Saccharomyces cerevisiae S288C: one gene and its partner. Each later gene encodes a partner of the first gene's protein in a complex. Each region holds a gene or a part of one and is shown on either strand. Other genes may lie near its edges. The genes, in order: GID7 and VID30. A codon is read from its position in the direction of its gene.

Region 1 (3,928 bases):
AAAAAAAAATTTTAGACGCGGCGCTTGCACCCCGCATTATAAGTGGTGTGCCGACGGACGGTCAACCCCTTTCAGGGGGCCCCCTATCTTGGGCGTGGTGTCACACCACGCTCAAACGGTGGGCACTAATGAAAACGCGCCCATATAAATATCCGCTATCAACAGAACCCCCAACCCCCCCATCAGTGCCCAACTCAGCTTCCGTAAACCACAACACCACCACTAATACAACTCTATCATACACAAGATGTCATTCGACGACTTACACAAAGCCACTGAGAGAGCGGTCATCCAGGCCGTGGACCAGATCTGCGACGATTTCGAGGTTACCCCCGAGAAGCTGGACGAATTAACTGCTTACTTCATCGAACAAATGGAAAAAGGTCTAGCTCCACCAAAGGAAGGCCACACATTGGCCTCGGACAAAGGTCTTCCTATGATTCCGGCGTTCGTCACCGGGTCACCCAACGGGACGGAGCGCGGTGTTTTACTAGCCGCCGACCTGGGTGGTACCAATTTCCGTATATGTTCTGTTAACTTGCATGGAGATCATACTTTCTCCATGGAGCAAATGAAGTCCAAGATTCCCGATGATTTGCTAGACGATGAGAACGTCACATCTGACGACCTGTTTGGGTTTCTAGCACGTCGTACACTGGCCTTTATGAAGAAGTATCACCCGGACGAGTTGGCCAAGGGTAAAGACGCCAAGCCCATGAAACTGGGGTTCACTTTCTCATACCCTGTAGACCAGACCTCTCTAAACTCCGGGACATTGATCCGTTGGACCAAGGGTTTCCGCATCGCGGACACCGTCGGAAAGGATGTCGTGCAATTGTACCAGGAGCAATTAAGCGCTCAGGGTATGCCTATGATCAAGGTTGTTGCATTAACCAACGACACCGTCGGAACGTACCTATCGCATTGCTACACGTCCGATAACACGGACTCAATGACGTCCGGAGAAATCTCGGAGCCGGTCATCGGATGTATTTTCGGTACCGGTACCAATGGGTGCTATATGGAGGAGATCAACAAGATCACGAAGTTGCCACAGGAGTTGCGTGACAAGTTGATAAAGGAGGGTAAGACACACATGATCATCAATGTCGAATGGGGGTCCTTCGATAATGAGCTCAAGCACTTGCCTACTACTAAGTATGACGTCGTAATTGACCAGAAACTGTCAACGAACCCGGGATTTCACTTGTTTGAAAAACGTGTCTCAGGGATGTTCTTGGGTGAGGTGTTGCGTAACATTTTAGTGGACTTGCACTCGCAAGGCTTGCTTTTGCAACAGTACAGGTCCAAGGAACAACTTCCTCGCCACTTGACTACACCTTTCCAGTTGTCATCCGAAGTGCTGTCGCATATTGAAATTGACGACTCGACAGGTCTACGTGAAACAGAGTTGTCATTATTACAGAGTCTCAGACTGCCCACCACTCCAACAGAGCGTGTTCAAATTCAAAAATTGGTGCGCGCGATTTCTAGGAGATCTGCGTATTTAGCCGCCGTGCCGCTTGCCGCGATATTGATCAAGACAAATGCTTTGAACAAGAGATATCATGGTGAAGTCGAGATCGGTTGTGATGGTTCCGTTGTGGAATACTACCCCGGTTTCAGATCTATGCTGAGACACGCCTTAGCCTTGTCACCCTTGGGTGCCGAGGGTGAGAGGAAGGTGCACTTGAAGATTGCCAAGGATGGTTCCGGAGTGGGTGCCGCCTTGTGTGCGCTTGTAGCATGATCTTTTTACATTTTTTTGGTTTGTGTACGTATCCCACCGTACTTACCATCTTCTCTCCTTTATATATATATATATATATGTATATTTTCAGTGTATATACATACATTCTTATACAATACCGTATAAGAACGTATGTATGTATGTATGATTTTCTCACATTAATGAACAATATCATCGGAAACGGGCCTTTGGTTTTTAAGGGAAAATGAAGAACAATAAATGCCTTGCTAGGTCTTCCTTTATCATTTTTGGAAGTCAAATATGAAAAACACTTCCAAGGGGGCGTACTACTTCAACTAATAAAATGTCACACACTAATAAGATCGCATACGTGTTGAACAATGACACGGAGGAAACAGCCTCGCCCTCTTCCGTTGGTTGTTTTGACAAGAAACAGCTCACTAAATTACTGATACATACTCTAAAGGAGCTGGGCTACGACTCCGCCGCTAACCAGTTACTGCTAGAGAGCGGCGGATATCAAAATGAGTCTAACCACATCCAGACTTTCTTCAAACTCATCAAGACCGGCCAATTCCATCTTATTAATTGGCAGATTGTTTGCTCGCTGCCCCTTGCCCATAGCTCTCCGCTAAGGTCCGAATGGCTTCAAAGGCTGCTCATTCCCACGCCGACGCCCGCCACGACTTCACTTTTCGACCACATGCTCCTGCAACTGCAATACCTGCAACAGCTGATGAGCTCTGTAAATTCATCTACTTGTTCGGACGCAGAGATCGCCACGCTCAGAAATTACGTAGAGATCATGATTCTAGTTAATAGACAAATATTCCTCGAATTCTTCCATCCAGTCACAAATTCCGCCTCTCACAAGGGCCCTCACACTGCACTGCCCGTCCTGTATTTGCGCAAAATCCTCAAAAACTTCATCGAGATATGGGATTCCCTGCTGGTGTCTAACGATCAGTTCCTAAATGAAGAAAACATCTTCAATCCGGAAACGACCTTGAGAGAACTGTCGACGTACCTGACCAACCCAAAACTAACCGCGCAGTTGAACCTCGAGCGAGACCATCTGATTGACGCCATCTCCAAATATATCGATCCGAACGAACTCGTTCCCAAGGGTCGTCTCTTGCATCTCTTGAAACAGGCCATCAAGTATCAACAATCACAAGACATTTTTAATATCATCGATCCGGATGATGACGCCTCTTTCTCCTCTCCACCCCACCGGATCAACCTTTTGCAGGATAACTTCTCACACGATCTGACTGTGACCTTTCAAGAATGGAAGACTATCCAAGACACCACAGACGAAATTTGGTTTTTGACATTTTCGCCCAATGGCAAGTATTTGGCTTCTGCGACTTCCGAGTCTTCAAGAGGCTACTTCATTACTGTTTATGATGTGGAACAAGACTTCAAAATTTATAAGACTTGCGTGAGCTTGTCACAATCCGTATTGTACCTCATGTTTTCTCCTGATAGCCGGTATCTGGTTGCTTGCCCTTTCAGCGAAGATGTTACCATTTACGACATGAATGCCACCTCCCTGCCCGATGCGTCTGCCACAGACTCGTTCCTACTATACCCTTCTACCAGGCTCTCGCCCATGGACTCGTTTAAACTGGACACCACCACGTACCCAGATGATACCGAATCATCAGCATCATCTTCCTCGAGGCCGGCAAACGCGAATTCTAATCAATCAAGAGTATGGTGCTGCGATGCCTTCCACACTGCGGAACGTGCGGGCTGGATGGTGGTTGGATCGCCCGACAGAGAAGCTATTGTACACTCACTCACCACGAAAGAGTCACTTTTTAGCTTAAAAGGCAGGACTTGTATCGCGTTGGGCCACGATGAAAACATCTCTGGGAGAAAATCAATCGATCCTGCAAAAGTCCTTTACAAACCAACAAGTAGCAATGGTAACTGGCAATATGTGGAGGACGACGAAACCTTTCCACGTGTGCACGACGTGAAAATCAGCTATGACGATAAATACGTGCTTTTAATGACCCACCAGGGCGTTATAGATGTCTACGATTTCAGTGGGTTCCCCTCCAAAGAGGAGCTATCTAAGCAAACAGTGGATCCCAAAAACTTTCTGATTCCAAGGATCGCAAGATTGGACGTGGGCAAAAACATGACTTGTATCTCATTACCGCTAAATACCACGCATCAAGGCTTCCATAGGCAACAAATATCCGA
Region 2 (3,928 bases), on another chromosome or scaffold:
CGTTTCTATGTATAACCCTAAGATAGTCAGGTTTCGGAAATAAGGCGGATTTCTACGTACATGATGATAATCATGTATCAAAGAAAGGATCAACTTGAAGAACAGCCTTAAAGTAAGCGTAATGGGCATTCTGTTTCAACCACCATTTCTGAAGTACTTTATATCTTGGATGCACAAAAGCTGTTACATCTAAACAAGAACGCAGCGTAACGAAATGGGAAAGCTGATAAAGTTAATCACAACTCTGACGGTGTTGGTATCGTTGCTTCAGTACTGTTGCGAATTCAATAGTGGGAGCATATCGTGTGAACGCACGCAAACGCTTTGCCATTATACCAATCCAAGAGTCTGGAACACCTACTTTTCAAGAAATTGTGAATTATACAAAAATAAAGTTAGTCCCGGTTTCGATATAGTGGCGCGTAAATATGACACGGCTGTCAAACCTGTCATCGATGACGCTACAGTAAAAGTGAACAAGGTCGCTATACAGCCTGCATTCAAGGTCATCCATTCACAATGTAAGAAATGGAACTGTGGAAAGTATTACCAATTGGTCCGCTCCCCAATGGTCAAGACTAGACGATTTTTCTTCGCAAAATACAATGCTTTTGTGAAACCTAACTTAGACAAATTCTTTACTGCGGAGTTTCGCTCTCATTTGAAGGAAAGAATTTTAAAGTATAAAAATATAGGCCATTATTACTTTACTATCACTTCAAGATGCATCAAATCCAAATACGACTTTATTGTTGGTAATACAGAGGAAAAATTAATGGGAAAGTTCAAGAATAAGGACACGCATGGCATTCATGGTTCTGTCACACGTGAGCCTTCCTCGGAGGACATGGTTTTAACCGTAAGTACTATGGAGTCTGACGAAGAGGAGCTAACTACAACAAGTACTCAAACAGTGGTTGAAACAATTACTTTGGACCAGGAAGAGGCTAGCGCTGTTGCTAATCATGCGCACGACGATGAGGCTTCCACAGACGTTGAAGGCTCCACAGACGTCAATGTCAATGAACAGGCTCTGTTGCAAGAGGATTTTGACATGTGGAGTGAGACTATATTGCAGAAAACACAAGACGTCATACAGCTATTTGAAAAGGATGTTTCCAAATACATCAATGGTAAATTGGTTGAGGAGGCCAACCATTTTAAAGCCAAGTTTCAATCTTTAGATGATAAATCTAAGAAGTTCTTCTCCAAGATTTCGCTAGCCATTAACGATATTGAATGTGTGGAAGGCATTGATAGTGAAACTGGCAAGAAAATTTTCTTCGATAAATCTGGAAGTACTGAGATTTCTCAGTACATAACGAGAGAGTTAGTTCGTGAGTACTTCAACGAGACGCGCTCGACGTTAGACGAACTGACAAATGCTATGGAGAAAGATTTGAGCGAAATCACTGATGAAATTGAAAAAAAAGTTAATGCAATTAGAGAGGAAAACGTCGAGGTATTTGAAGAATGGGGTGATATCATTGTAAATGAATGGTCCAAAAGAATGGCTTATGTGGATGTTATCAACGCTCACATGGGTGCAGATGATGACACTACGCTTGATGAAGAGAAAGCAAAGTCTTCTGTTAACTGGAAGAAGTTTTTGAAGGGCAAGAAACAGATCATAGAATCTAGAGACAAGCTGGCTCACCATTCCGCTGACTTATCCCGTGTTAACGCGTTTAGGCAAAAAGTGCAAAAGAAGATATTATCGTTCACTCAAGAGAGTGGTGAGTTTTTGTATATTCTAAGATCGAAAGCCAACCTGCAATTTCAGGAACGTGAAAGAAAGGAACGTGAAAGAAAAGAGCGTGAAAAAGCTGCAGCAGAAGAGTTCCAAAGGCAGCAGGAGCTATTACGACAACAGGAAGAAGAAGACGAAGAAGACGTATCCTACACCTCTACTTCGACCATCACCACAACCATTACCATGACATTGTGATGAAATTCATGCGCTTGCTATACACACACACACACACACACACACACACACACACAATATCTATCTATATATATATGTATGTTCTTTATTGTTTGTCTTTACCTTTATATATAAACATATATAGCCATATAAGAATATAATATTACCACTCCACTGTATTTTGTATCCTGCCTATTTTTGCTAGATTACAGGACGCGCGAGCCTTTCAGGGGAGGGAACTGATGAATCGATCAACCAAAAGAAAGAGCCAAAGGATTGGACCAGAACTGTTACTGTTATAGCAGAAATATTAGTAGTACGTTAAAGCCAAGCGTCGAATTTCAGCATAATTAAGAGGAAATGTCTGAATATATGGATGACGTAGACCGCGAATTCATTAACTGTTTGTTCCCGAGCTACTTGCTGCAACAGCCTGTGGCTTATGATTTATGGATTTTATATTTGCAACATAGAAAACTCTTTCACAAACTGAAGAACACTAACTTAATCAACGCTGATGAAAATCCCACTGGCGTTGGAATGGGCAGGACAAAGTTAACTGCTTTAACAAGGAAAGAAATCTGGTCTAAATTGATGAATTTGGGTGTTCTAGGCACAATTTCGTTTGAAGCTGTCAACGACGATTACCTGATTCAAGTCTATAAATATTTCTATCCAGACGTTAATGATTTTACTTTGAGATTTGGTGTTAAAGATTCAAATAAAAATTCAGTGCGAGTTATGAAAGCTTCCTCAGACATGAGGAAAAATGCTCAGGAACTATTAGAACCCGTTTTATCCGAACGTGAAATGGCGCTTAACTCTAATACCAGCCTGGAAAATGACAGAAATGACGATGATGATGACGATGATGATGATGACGATGATGACGATGACGATGACGACGACGACGATGAATCCGATCTGGAAAGCTTAGAAGGGGAAGTGGATACTGACACGGACGATAACAACGAAGGAGATGGCTCTGACAATCACGAGGAAGGTGGAGAAGAAGGAAGTAGAGGAGCTGATGCTGATGTGTCCAGTGCACAGCAGCGTGCCGAAAGGGTTGCGGACCCATGGATATATCAAAGATCTAGATCAGCTATTAATATAGAAACAGAATCAAGGAATTTGTGGGATACATCTGACAAGAACAGTGGTCTACAATACTACCCCCCTGATCAGTCTCCAAGTTCTTCCTTTTCTTCTCCTAGAGTATCGTCTGGTAACGACAAAAATGACAATGAGGCAACAAATGTTTTGTCCAACAGTGGTAGCAAAAAGAAAAACTCAATGATCCCTGATATTTACAAAATACTTGGGTACTTTTTACCTTCTAGATGGCAAGCTCAACCAAATAACAGCTTGCAGCTATCTCAAGATGGTATTACTCATTTACAACCTAATCCTGATTATCACTCATACATGACTTATGAAAGATCAAGCGCTTCTTCTGCCTCTACCAGAAATAGACTGAGAACCTCTTTTGAGAACTCTGGGAAAGTGGACTTTGCAGTCACTTGGGCAAATAAGTCATTGCCAGACAATAAGTTAACTATATTCTATTACGAGATTAAAGTTCTCAGTGTAACGAGTACAGAGAGTGCTGAAAATAGTAACATTGTTATCGGATACAAGTTAGTAGAGAATGAATTAATGGAAGCGACTACAAAAAAGAGTGTTTCTCGTTCAAGCGTGGCCGGTTCTAGTAGTAGCTTAGGTGGTAGTAATAACATGAGTTCCAATAGAGTACCTTCTACTTCTTTCACTATGGAAGGTACTCAAAGGCGTGATTATATTTATGAAGGGGGCGTTTCAGCCATGTCTCTTAACGTGGATGGTTCCATAAATAAGTGTCAGAAATACGGATTTGATCTTAATGTATTTGGCTATTGCGGATTTGACGGTTTGATAACTAATTCTACAGAACAATCTAAGGAATATGCTAAGCCTTTTGGTAGGGATGACGTTATTGGTTGTGGCATAAATTTTATCGAT

Evidence for each region.
Region 2: the proteins of GID7 (region 1) and VID30 are in contact, whole or in part, in a cryo-EM structure (PDB 7NSB), measured with the Saccharomyces cerevisiae proteins. Residues at the interface, in NP_009891.1 of Saccharomyces cerevisiae: Ala182 (codon at 2,598), Val185 (codon at 2,607), Leu186 (codon at 2,610), Leu188 (codon at 2,616), Arg189 (codon at 2,619), Lys193 (codon at 2,631), Asp200 (codon at 2,652), Val204 (codon at 2,664), Asp207 (codon at 2,673), Phe209 (codon at 2,679), Leu210 (codon at 2,682), Asn211 (codon at 2,685), Glu212 (codon at 2,688), Ile215 (codon at 2,697), Phe216 (codon at 2,700), Arg223 (codon at 2,721), Ser226 (codon at 2,730), Thr227 (codon at 2,733), Leu229 (codon at 2,739), Thr230 (codon at 2,742), Asn231 (codon at 2,745), Pro232 (codon at 2,748), Lys233 (codon at 2,751), Ile648, Leu649, Ile650, Gln651, Lys652, Phe654, Arg690; in NP_011287.1 of Saccharomyces cerevisiae: Lys39 (codon at 2,402), Leu40 (codon at 2,405), Lys43 (codon at 2,414), Leu44 (codon at 2,417), Asn46 (codon at 2,423), Lys65 (codon at 2,480), Leu66 (codon at 2,483), Ala68 (codon at 2,489), Lys72 (codon at 2,501), Trp75 (codon at 2,510), Ser76 (codon at 2,513), Met79 (codon at 2,522), Leu84 (codon at 2,537), Thr86 (codon at 2,543), Ile87 (codon at 2,546), Ser88 (codon at 2,549), Phe89 (codon at 2,552), Phe111 (codon at 2,618), Arg114 (codon at 2,627), Phe115 (codon at 2,630), Ile830, Glu831, Ile834, Gln838, Ser841, Tyr846, Ser863, Asn864, Ser866, Ala867.

The regions. Positions count from the first base shown.
Region 1 is NC_001135.5:50,591-54,518, forward strand, and holds the start of GID7 (glucose-induced degradation complex subunit GID7), read left to right. Parts: upstream 1-2,054; coding exon 2,055-3,928. Other genes in the region: YCL042W (uncharacterized protein), read left to right, coding at 1-353; GLK1 (glucokinase), read left to right, coding at 248-1,750.
Region 2 is NC_001139.9:67,384-71,311, forward strand, and holds the start of VID30 (glucose-induced degradation complex subunit VID30), read left to right. Parts: upstream 1-2,287; coding exon 2,288-3,928. Other genes in the region: SHE10 (She10p), read left to right, coding at 215-1,948.